Linked DNA regions of Daphnia pulex. The protein of the gene in region 2 purifies or fractionates together with the protein of the main gene of each other region. This does not show direct contact. Links are inferred from orthologs where the notes say so. Each region holds a gene or a part of one and is shown on either strand. Other genes may lie near its edges.

Region 1 (4,054 bases), on a different chromosome or scaffold from region 2:
CCATACAAAAATTCAGTTGCATGAGATTATTTAAGTTAAATGCTATTTGTTCTAAAAGAGTTATTTTGACGGATGACACGAAGTAAGGACTTGATTTGAATTATATAATATTGGCGCCACTGCGTCAAAAAAAGCATTGTGTACAGTGGAAAAATGTCAAAAAATGTCAGTAAACTACAACTACTGTTATTATGTTTACTATTGTGTTCTATTCCTACAAAAACGACGGATGAGTTCAATAATTCGAGTACGAATAATCAGACAGAAGAAGCTTGCCTACAGGAATCATGTGAAACAATACCGAAAGAAGATAACGTTACGGACGTGGGACTAGCAAATAATTTCCTTCATGAGCAAACGATTGAAATTTTGAACGAAAGAGTAATACCATGGCATATTTCCAATTCAATATGCCCAATTGATAGGGAGTGCCATTCATTACCTGCTGATTGCATAATCTGCAAGTTCAATTTTACATGTATCTATGGTAACTTGGTAAATGTCAGTTGCCAAGCTATTCCAAAATGTGATGTATGCATTACTAAAGCAAATTTTAACTATATTTTTAGATTTAAGTAAGTTTTTTTAAATCAACAGGGTCCTAAAGTATTTGAGAAAACTATGAGATGTCAATATTGTTACCAGACTTCTCCAGAAGATCATTCCTGCAATGCAACAGGCAGCTACTGTAACACACCAGCTAACCCAGTTCAAAACTACAGATCCAACTGCACTGCAAAACCACATGTCTTGTGTTTAGGACAGAGGACATTTTTCAAAAATATTAGATGCAATTGGACATCTGGATACAAGGTAATAAATGTTAATTAATACTAAATGTATCATATTTTTTTAAATTTTTCTGTTTGCTAGTGGACTACAACTCTACTGTTGAGCATTACCTTAGGTGGTTTTGGAGCTGATAGGTTCTACCTTGGTCACTGGCAGGTGAATTCCTTTAAACAAGAAGTTGCATTCAACAGCTAATTTTTCTAAATTTTTAGGAAGGGATTGGCAAGTTGTTTAGTTTTGGAGGAGCTGGAGTATGGACTTTGATTGATGTGATATTAGTAGCTGTTGGTTACCTCAAACCAGCTGATGGATCTGTGTTTTTGTAGAATAGAAGAATATATAACTTGTGTACTGAGAAATAAAAAATTATCATGAAACTGTGTAATTCCCCCCTACATCATACAATTGTTAACATAGATCATTCTCCAATCAATTTGTTGACGAATGCTCTGAGCTTGTCATCGTCTAAAACTCCAACAAATGATCCTTCAACTTTTCCTCCCTTGATAGCAATGACTGATGGTACAGCAGTGACCTGAAACAATAATTCACAATGTCTTTATTAAAGATTGGGATAGATTTAATTATAATTATGTAATCGGGCAAACATACATTATATTCTTCTGCAAGCTCGGGGACATTATCAATGTCAACTTTGGCAAGATGAAACTTATCTAATTTTTCTGCAGCCAGTGCCTCCAGTCTTGGCCCTAAAGTTTTGCATGGTCCACACCATCTGGTATGATAATAAGAACACTTATGATGCAACAAGTAAATAAAAACATGTAAAACAAAAAGTTAATGCGACATACTTGGCGTGAAAGTCAACCAGGACTGGCGTGGAGGCATTTAAAACTCTTTTCTGGAAATCTTCTTGATCCTGAACATTGAATGATTGGAAGCTAGCTGTTCGACCGATAGAAATGGGCCGCCGAGCAACAAAACTAGTTTGGCTGATTAGATTGAATTTAATTATACGCTGCATTCTCAATAACTATTGAATGACGTTATAAATTTTTGTTGTATGAAAGCAAACAACGTTGCCCCTTTTCAAACAAAAAAAAGAAAATGAGTAAATTAGATTATCTCATTGATCAGATGTCTAGTTTGCAACGAATAGAGTTCAGCTAAAAAAATAAGCCGAGTAGAAGTTACAATTACGAAAAACGTTGGGACACGATATCGAAATGTAGGGGGAATCGTACGGACTACGGAGTGTGGCACGTACGTACGAAATGGGGTTACGCAACTTCACCTGTTTTGGAAACCTTCGATTACGCGCGGTCGTCGTGGTAACCAAGTTTCAAACACAAGATTTTCATAGTTGTATCAGATTACAAATAATGCCTCTTTTTCGTAGTAAATTTCAACCAAAAAAATGCCCTGCAAGAAAAACGTCCACTGTTTCAAATCTCAGACGGAACATGGATGCGCTACAACTGGAGAGAGAATTTAGCATTCAAATAGACAAGGTGAAACTGGATCTTGGAGAAAACCAACAGTTTGAATTTAATTCTGAAAACGCCAAGTGGGTTTCAATCAGCACCGCTCCCAATGCCAAAGCAAAATCAAGCACTTTACTTCAGAAACTTGAAGGAGAAAACAATTATCTAAAAATTCAAGCAGATTTGCTGTTGACTATGGTGAGTTCTGCATTAGATTTAAACAATTTCTATGACTAATTTATATCATTATTTAGCTGACAGAAACAGCCTTAGAAGCTCATTTAAACTCACTGGACGTACCTGATGAAACCACCACCGAAACCAAGAGTTCGAAGAAGAGTTCCTTTAGAGGACGAAAGTTATTTTAATACACTTTCAGCTCTGGAAACTGAAGCAAATATAATTTTGTGTGAAACCCTAAAAATCAAACATTTTAATTTGTGGAATTTATAATCATTCATTCCTTGAATATACTGTATTTACACTGGTCCGACTAGTCCACTTTTATTTAAAAGTTCTATTTGCAAGGAGCATCAACTTTGGGTAAGAGAAGGATAGAGACCACGAACTGTTTTCAGCAGCCAGTCTTCACTGTCCTCGCTCTTCTTGTGAACGAGCATAAGGATCATAATTATAGGCAAATGCGCCAAAGACATTCGGAAAAGTTTCCGAGAACTAGAGCTATCCGAATGGCGATAAAAACGCCAAGCTAAATACAAAAAATACATGTTTATAGGTAAAGAGTCCAGAGCAAACGTCCAAGTTGTTAATCCAATAACAGGTGCGGTCGTACAAATTCCTATCAAAGCAGCGGTATGTCGTAACGTTGTTCTCCGGCAGAGATCTACAGTAATTGAAGGTGGTGGTTATAGCTGAGACAATAAACGTTATCATGTTACTACATCTACCTGGATTTGTGACGGCCATCATTCTATACCCAGCACGGGAATAGTCGGATCTAAGGTTCCACGATAAAGCATTGAAATGAGGAAATTGCCAGGCATATAAAACTCCACCCAATACCAATGCGCCAGCGTCTAGATAACCAGTGCAACCAGCGTAACCCATCAGGGGAGGAAGGGCACCAACTATTTGTAAAACGTTATAAAAATTTTATTTTATGAACTATTGATAAGAAAAGCGTGCCATACCTATGGATCCGACCCACGTATTAGCTATACTAGATCGCTTCATTGGCGTGTAAACCAATGTGTACAACGCCAAAGTCAGAGCACCCAAAGACGCGCACACTCCGTTGACTCCATAATTCAAGATGATTAAACCAGTCGTTCCACTCACAGCCGCAAAAGACACAGCGTGCAAAGGGCTGAATAAAAAGCATTTAGATAATAATATTGTTGCGTGACCGATGAGAAAATTTACCTCAATAGTCCACGAACCAATACTCGATTGCTGGTTCTTGCCATTTGTGAATCGAAGGGTACCTCGAAAAACTGATTGATCCTGCACAGTTCATAGAGTTATAGAAATGATTCAACATAAAATATATGAGATGGTAAATAGCCTACGTGTTTGCAGAAGCAGAAGTCAAAGCCGTACCAAGAAGGCAAAGACCCAAGGTAGTTAAGTCAGTTGGCATTGGCGCCATAGCATATCCAGTCACGGCGGAGCACACAACAAGTCCAGTTAATCGAAACTTGGCCAGAGAACTATAATGATTTGTCAGTTTGGATGGTGTCAATAATGCAGGATCACTGGGAGATTTCCCAGAAACTTGTGCAACACTATGCACTACATCTTGGTTTGTTCCAAGCGCTGGGTTGCTTTGCAAAACTGTCCTCACAACTAATGGGGGT
Region 2 (5,824 bases):
GTTAATATGATGAAGCAAGTTGGAGCTCAACAGGGTTTTAACATCCCGCAACCTGAATAGTATGCGACCATTTTTCTAATATATTTAATATTCAATTCATTCTTAAATTACGATTTTCAATAATAGTATTAATATGCAAATGGACCGTACGTCAAACTACGTCGAGGCTATTCGAGCGGAATGTGGTCGAAAGCAATTCAGCCTTATTTTTTGCGTGTTGCGTGCTGCACGAGCAGATACGTATGCTTCAATCAAGAAGATGACGATCTCAGAATTCGGCATTCCATCTCAGGTATCCGTTTGAAAGGGAATCGTAGTTGGCATCTTCATGATTGTTTAACTAGATTTGATCTTCTTGCACAGGTGATAACGGGAAGAAATATCAAGGGACAGCCCGGTAAGCTCATGTCAATCGCCACCAAAGTTATGATTCAAGTTGCTTCGAAGTTGGGTGCGGAACCTTGGAGAGTTGCAGTCCCCCAGACGGTAACTTTTCTCGATCGAGACGTTTGCTTCTTGAATTCTTAATTTATCTTTTGGCTATTATTGAATGTAGAAATGGATGGTTATCGGCTATGATACGTACCACGATGCACGTCAAAGAAAAGCTGTCGGTGCATTTGTTGCATCCATCAACCCGACCTTCTCGCGTTACTATTCTTCTGTGAAAATTCATGAAAACAATGAAGAAATTTCACCCAGCTTCAAAGATCATCTCTTTGGCGCACTCAAGTATGTTTTATTATGCTTTCTTTGTTCCGTGCAAAATAATATCTCTTTTTCATTCGCACAATTAGATCTTATTACATCATGAACGAAAAAACATTGCCGGAAAAAATCATTGTCTACCGTGACGGTGTCGGTGCTGGAGACATTGCGCGACTGAAGGATACGGAAGTGGCGGCACTGAGGGTAATAATGATGAGTGACGGTCTGTGGGAAGATTTTGAGGCTCGTTTTTCTATACAATTATCATTTTTTGGCTTGAGTAGGAGGCTTGTTCCGATGCTGGTGCTCGAACAAATTACCTCGGGACTGGTGTGTATAATCCACCCATTGCGTTCATTGTCGTAAGCAAGCGGATCAACACGCGATTTTTCGCCATGGGACAACGTGGAGCGAGCAACCCTCCTTGCGGCACGGTTGTCGACAATAAAGTGACGCTCAATGAGAGATTCGACTTCTTCCTGGTGTCTCAAAAAGTTACGCAAGGTACCGTTTCTCCCACCAGCTACAATGTTATTGAAGATGACACTGGAATCGCCCCTGATATTCACCAGCGACTGGCTTATGCTCTTACCCATCTTTACTACAATTGGCCTGTAAGTTTTTTTATTTTTATTGTCTATTTTATTCAGAATTGAATTTAACCAATTTGTTCATTTAAGGGTACCCTGCGTATTCCAGCGCCCATCCAGTATGCGCACAAGTTGGCGTACCTTGTTGGTGAATCAATGATGACGCAACCGCATGAAGGACTGAATCGACTTCCTTATTACCTTTGAATTACCTTTCATTTATTTTCTCCCTAAGTTTTGTCATTTTTAACGTATTAATTTGTTCACTCATAAGAAAAAAACTAAAAGACGACGAGACATGCCTCACTCGCACGATTTTCGAATGACGCCAAAAATATTTTTCTTGAGTTTGTTTGCAATGGCGGATATCGACAATGGAAGTGTTTTTCATGCAATTTTTTTTTCTGTTTCACCTTCATGGGCCATGTCAGAAGTGTGATAATGAACGCCCCTTTGTGCCATGTTGTATGTAATCAAGGAATGAGTAATAAACCTTTGTTTTTAAATGAAGTAGATTTATTGACTTTCGTGTGGTGAGTTTTTATATGATGAAATAAACATGAGTTGCAATGGAATTCGCGTTGAGATGGCATTGACGGAAAAGCTCTACGTGTGCAATGCACATAGCACATTAGGTGTTTCGAAAGCACTGAGGAAAACAAAAGAATGTGGCATCGCTGCTTGGCAGGCGTGGTCAAGCTGACAGCTGTATCGAGAAGAATGCAGGCCTGCAAGGCCAACAAGGGTACGTCTGGGCAGGATCGTCTGGGCTTCCTCGATAGTCAACTTTCAGGTCCGCAAAAGCCAAAAGAACTCGCAAGTCATTGAATTGCTAATTGTCCACTAGAGACACCATGCGGCTGTCTCTTTTGTAACCAAGGGATCTCAATCGTCCCACAGCGAACTAAATCGTTTATAAAAATTATTTCAATACTATAAAATGACTTGATTTCATAACTTGAAGCTTTTTAAAAACACGATAAAATAATATTTACGTAACAAAATAGATGGTTGCTAGACATCCAATAATGAATTCACAAAAAGTATGCATAGAATCAAATGATTAGAATGAACATGTCATTACTCGGATAATAGAAAATTTGAATAAAAGTTTTATTTCATAAGAATTAATTAAATACCTAAAAGATTAGACAGCCCCCAAAGGTGTTTGGCCTTGTATAGATGTCAGCACTGTACGCTGCTAGATGCATAGGTAATAAGAAACGAGATCTGGCAATCTGGCCTCTTCCCATCCCATCGACTCTCGCTGGCATTTTCCGCTTTAGCTACAGGGCAAAGCATTCTAGCAAGCGTACGGTGGAGTCTCAGTTGCTAGCTACACTCTTTGGTCTTAGTCGAGACAATTCGAGGCAGGTTCCGATTCCAACGGTCTCGCTTTTGTTTCTTTATCCAGTGACATCTGCTTATAGTTTATTCCAGCAGCCATGGCAGACAGAGAGGATAACGTTTACAAGGCAAAACTCGCCGAACAAGCCGAAAGATACGATGGTACGTAAATGTCATTTAAATGTAAAATCGAAAAAAAGAATGAAGTTTCATTTCCTCTGTGTCTCTATGACTGTGCATCTCTGTGGGTAAAACCGAACGAGACGGTAGGCGGCTTTGAAAAAAGGCTTGGGCGTTTGACAGACTTATGACGTTTTGACTTTTTGTCTTTTTTCTTGTACATTCGGTTGTGTAATGGGGAAATTCAGCGGCGTCCCCCCTCTTAGTGTTGGCTTGAATACTTTCGATCAATATGACACTCGTACTTGAGGTTCATTTTTCCTGACAATTCCATTTTATCAAGTATAGTATAATCTCAGCCATGTTTTCTAGAATCTCTTTTGAGGGTTTTTGTCGCAGTACGAAATAAAAAAAAAGTAATTCTGGGTGTGTGTCCGGTGTGTGTGTGTATCTCTGGGTGGTTTTCCTCGAAACCTACCGCTACGTAACGAGATGACTTGGATCAATGAGTCATGAGAGAGAGAGAGAGAGAGCAGAGACTTTGGACTGTCTCTTTGTATACTTGCTTTCCAATAACTTTTTTATTCTCTTTTTCGTGAAAAATACGTAGTCGTTTCTATTCAACTTGGGCCTCTCACCATTGCGCATCACCAAGGCGACGGATCTCTTCAAAACGACGCTCGGTAGAGTACCCCACCCTTATGTGCGTGATGCGTTGGGGGTCCTGGCTACGTTGATGAAAACGTGCCGTCTAAAAAAGCTTCTCTCTCTCTCTCTCTCTCGAGGACATCAAAAAGGAAACCGTTCACACAACAATGGCCGCCTGTGATGGTTAATTTTCTCTTCTATATTTTTCTCTCGACTCTTCTGTCTGCGGCTTACAAAAACCAAGAATCGGTCAAGCTCTGACAGTGGGCGGAGAAACCCGATGGAAAATTAGCCACCATTTTTATTTTTCGTCTTTTTCCTTTAGGAAAATATTCCAACTGGTATGAATGGGGCGTTTTTCTATTTCCACATATTTTCGAAAAAATAGTTGTCGCACGTGACGCGTCTCGTGCCTTTTGTCGTTGTAGAAAAAAAAAATTAGTTTTTATATTTTTAACTTTATTCCCCCCCCCCCCCTTCACGTTTCAATGATGGAGGGAAGTTGGAAAGAAGAGAAAATGCGGTGTGGGTGTGTCGCCCTAGAACCTGTCATTACGCCACTGCGATGTGAATCCAAGTGGAGAGCCTGTCCGTGCATACAACTCGATCGTCTGGTTATTATTATTTCCCTGAATTCAAACATGTACGCCCAGCTGGAGAAACTTTTATTTTTCAATTCCTCCCTTAGAAAAAAAGAGGACACACATAGTTTTGTGTGTGTGTGCGTAACGTCAACTCGGTTTGCCCCTGTACTTTTCCTTCCTTCCGCCGTGGGGATGCTGATGTTGGGGGTTATATGACGACTGCGACGTGCTGGATGTGTGGAGAGCGGGCGGAACTAGGCGGTAGCGTGTTTCCTCCCGTGGCCGTTATTGATCCGCTACTTGAAAAGTCGCTCGAGTGTGGGGGGTGGGGTAGACAGGGAGATGGGGGGGAAAGAAGGCAAAGCCTTTATGTCTGAAAGTGTATCTATCTTTTTCTGTCCAAAAGAGAAAGGGATCCTCTGACAAGTTTCTTTGGCTAAGACTATATGATAATCTGTTTGTTGATGCAGAAATGGTCGAGTCCATGAAAAAGGTGGCGTCGATGGACGTCGAGTTGACTGTCGAGGAGCGGAATCTGCTGAGCGTGGCTTACAAAAATGTGATCGGCGCTCGTCGTGCATCTTGGCGCATCATCTCGTCCATTGAACAGAAAGAGGAGAACAAGGGAGCCGAAGATAAACTTGAACTCATCCGCAATTACCGCAATCAGGTATGGATAATGTATTCAAATTTTATTCATTGATTTGTGCCTTTATCTGTTTTGTCTATAGGTCGAGAAAGAGCTGAAGGACATTTGCTCTGATATTTTGAGCGTCCTCGAGAAGCATCTCATCCCATCAGCCACCACTGGAGAATCTAAAGTCTTTTACTACAAAATGTAAATCGATTTTTGCTTGGCCTTTTTTTTTTCAATCTTGCGAGTAGTAGTTGGACATTCCTATTAAATGCACCGGTGGATTTCTCTCAAAGTCCTTGAGACTCGAGCGTCTGTGATTTCGAATTCTACTCGTGTTTCGCTTTGAGAGAAAAGAAAAAGTGTCGTTACTATCTCTACCAAACGTGTACACAATTTTATCGTACGTAAACGTTGCGCCAAGCGCAACTTTGTGTGCGCGCAGACATGTTGTGGATGGATGGCCTGGTATTGATTATTGACGATTTTACACAACTCCCTTCCTCTGCTTTTGTCGTTGTGTTATACAGGAAGGGTGATTACCATCGGTATTTGGCCGAATTTGCGACAGGAAATGACCGAAAGGAAGCTGCAGAGAACTCGTTGATGGCTTACAAAGCCGCCTCCGACATTGCCATGACGGAATTACCCCCCACCCATCCCATCAGGTAACTTAACTAACAATTTGTTGCCGATCCTCAACTTAACTTTATCATTTGTAGATTGGGATTGGCCTTGAACTTTTCCGTCTTTTATTACGAAATCCTCAACTCTCCGGACCGAGCGTGCCGGTTAGCCAAGGCAGCTTTCGATGACGCCATCGCTGAGCTCGACACCCTTTCGGAGGAGTCGTACAAGGACTCGACGCTCATCATGCAGCTCTTGAGGGACAACTTGACCCTCTGGACTTCCGACATGCAGGGCGATGGAGAAGCTGGTTAGTAGAGCAACAGCTAATTGATTTTTGTCCAATCACGCCAACAGGACTTGTGTGTGTTAATAATTAAAATTTCCTTTTTTAAAAAAATTGATCAAGGAGATGGTGAACCAAAAGCGGAAGTCGCAGACGTTGAGGACCAAGACGTCTCCTAATCGGCGATGTAATTTGTATTGATGTGTTTTTTTTTCTTAAGTCCTACATGATTTGTTCAATTTTTTCATTATATTATTAATTTTTTTTTTTCAACAAAAAA

What was found.
Region 1: the proteins of 14-3-3 protein epsilon (region 2) and protein chibby homolog 1-like purify together in Homo sapiens (affinity purification with mass spectrometry; 3 studies listed by BioGRID and IntAct, with this or other methods). This does not show direct contact. The link is inferred for Daphnia pulex from reciprocal best matches to the Homo sapiens genes YWHAE and CBY1.

What each region holds. Positions count from the first base shown.
Region 1 is NC_060017.1:7,935,636-7,939,689, reverse strand, and holds protein chibby homolog 1-like, read left to right. Parts: upstream 1-2,027; coding exon 2,028-2,435; intron 2,436-2,491; coding exon 2,492-2,605; 3' UTR 2,606-2,725; downstream 2,726-4,054. Other genes in the region: TM2 domain-containing protein 3-like, read left to right, coding at 154-531, 598-813, 874-948, 1,005-1,118; thioredoxin, mitochondrial-like, read right to left, coding at 1,211-1,327, 1,405-1,528, 1,605-1,777; protoheme IX farnesyltransferase, mitochondrial-like, read right to left, coding at 2,771-3,081, 3,146-3,325, 3,389-3,564, 3,621-3,701, 3,767-4,054. UniProt on the Homo sapiens protein: Inhibits the Wnt/Wingless pathway by binding to CTNNB1/beta-catenin and inhibiting beta-catenin-mediated transcriptional activation through competition with TCF/LEF transcription factors.
Region 2 is NC_060024.1:10,587,437-10,593,260, forward strand, and holds the start of 14-3-3 protein epsilon, read left to right. Parts: upstream 1-2,576; 5' UTR 2,577-2,743; coding exon 2,744-2,807; intron 2,808-4,467; coding exon 4,468-4,667; intron 4,668-4,728; coding exon 4,729-4,835; intron 4,836-5,161; coding exon 5,162-5,299; intron 5,300-5,353; coding exon 5,354-5,568; intron 5,569-5,661; coding exon 5,662-5,723; 3' UTR 5,724-5,824. Other genes in the region: piwi-like protein Siwi, read left to right, coding at 1-59, 127-292, 364-486, 557-732, 798-912, 993-1,322, 1,389-1,505. UniProt on the Homo sapiens protein: Adapter protein implicated in the regulation of a large spectrum of both general and specialized signaling pathways. Binds to a large number of partners, usually by recognition of a phosphoserine or phosphothreonine motif.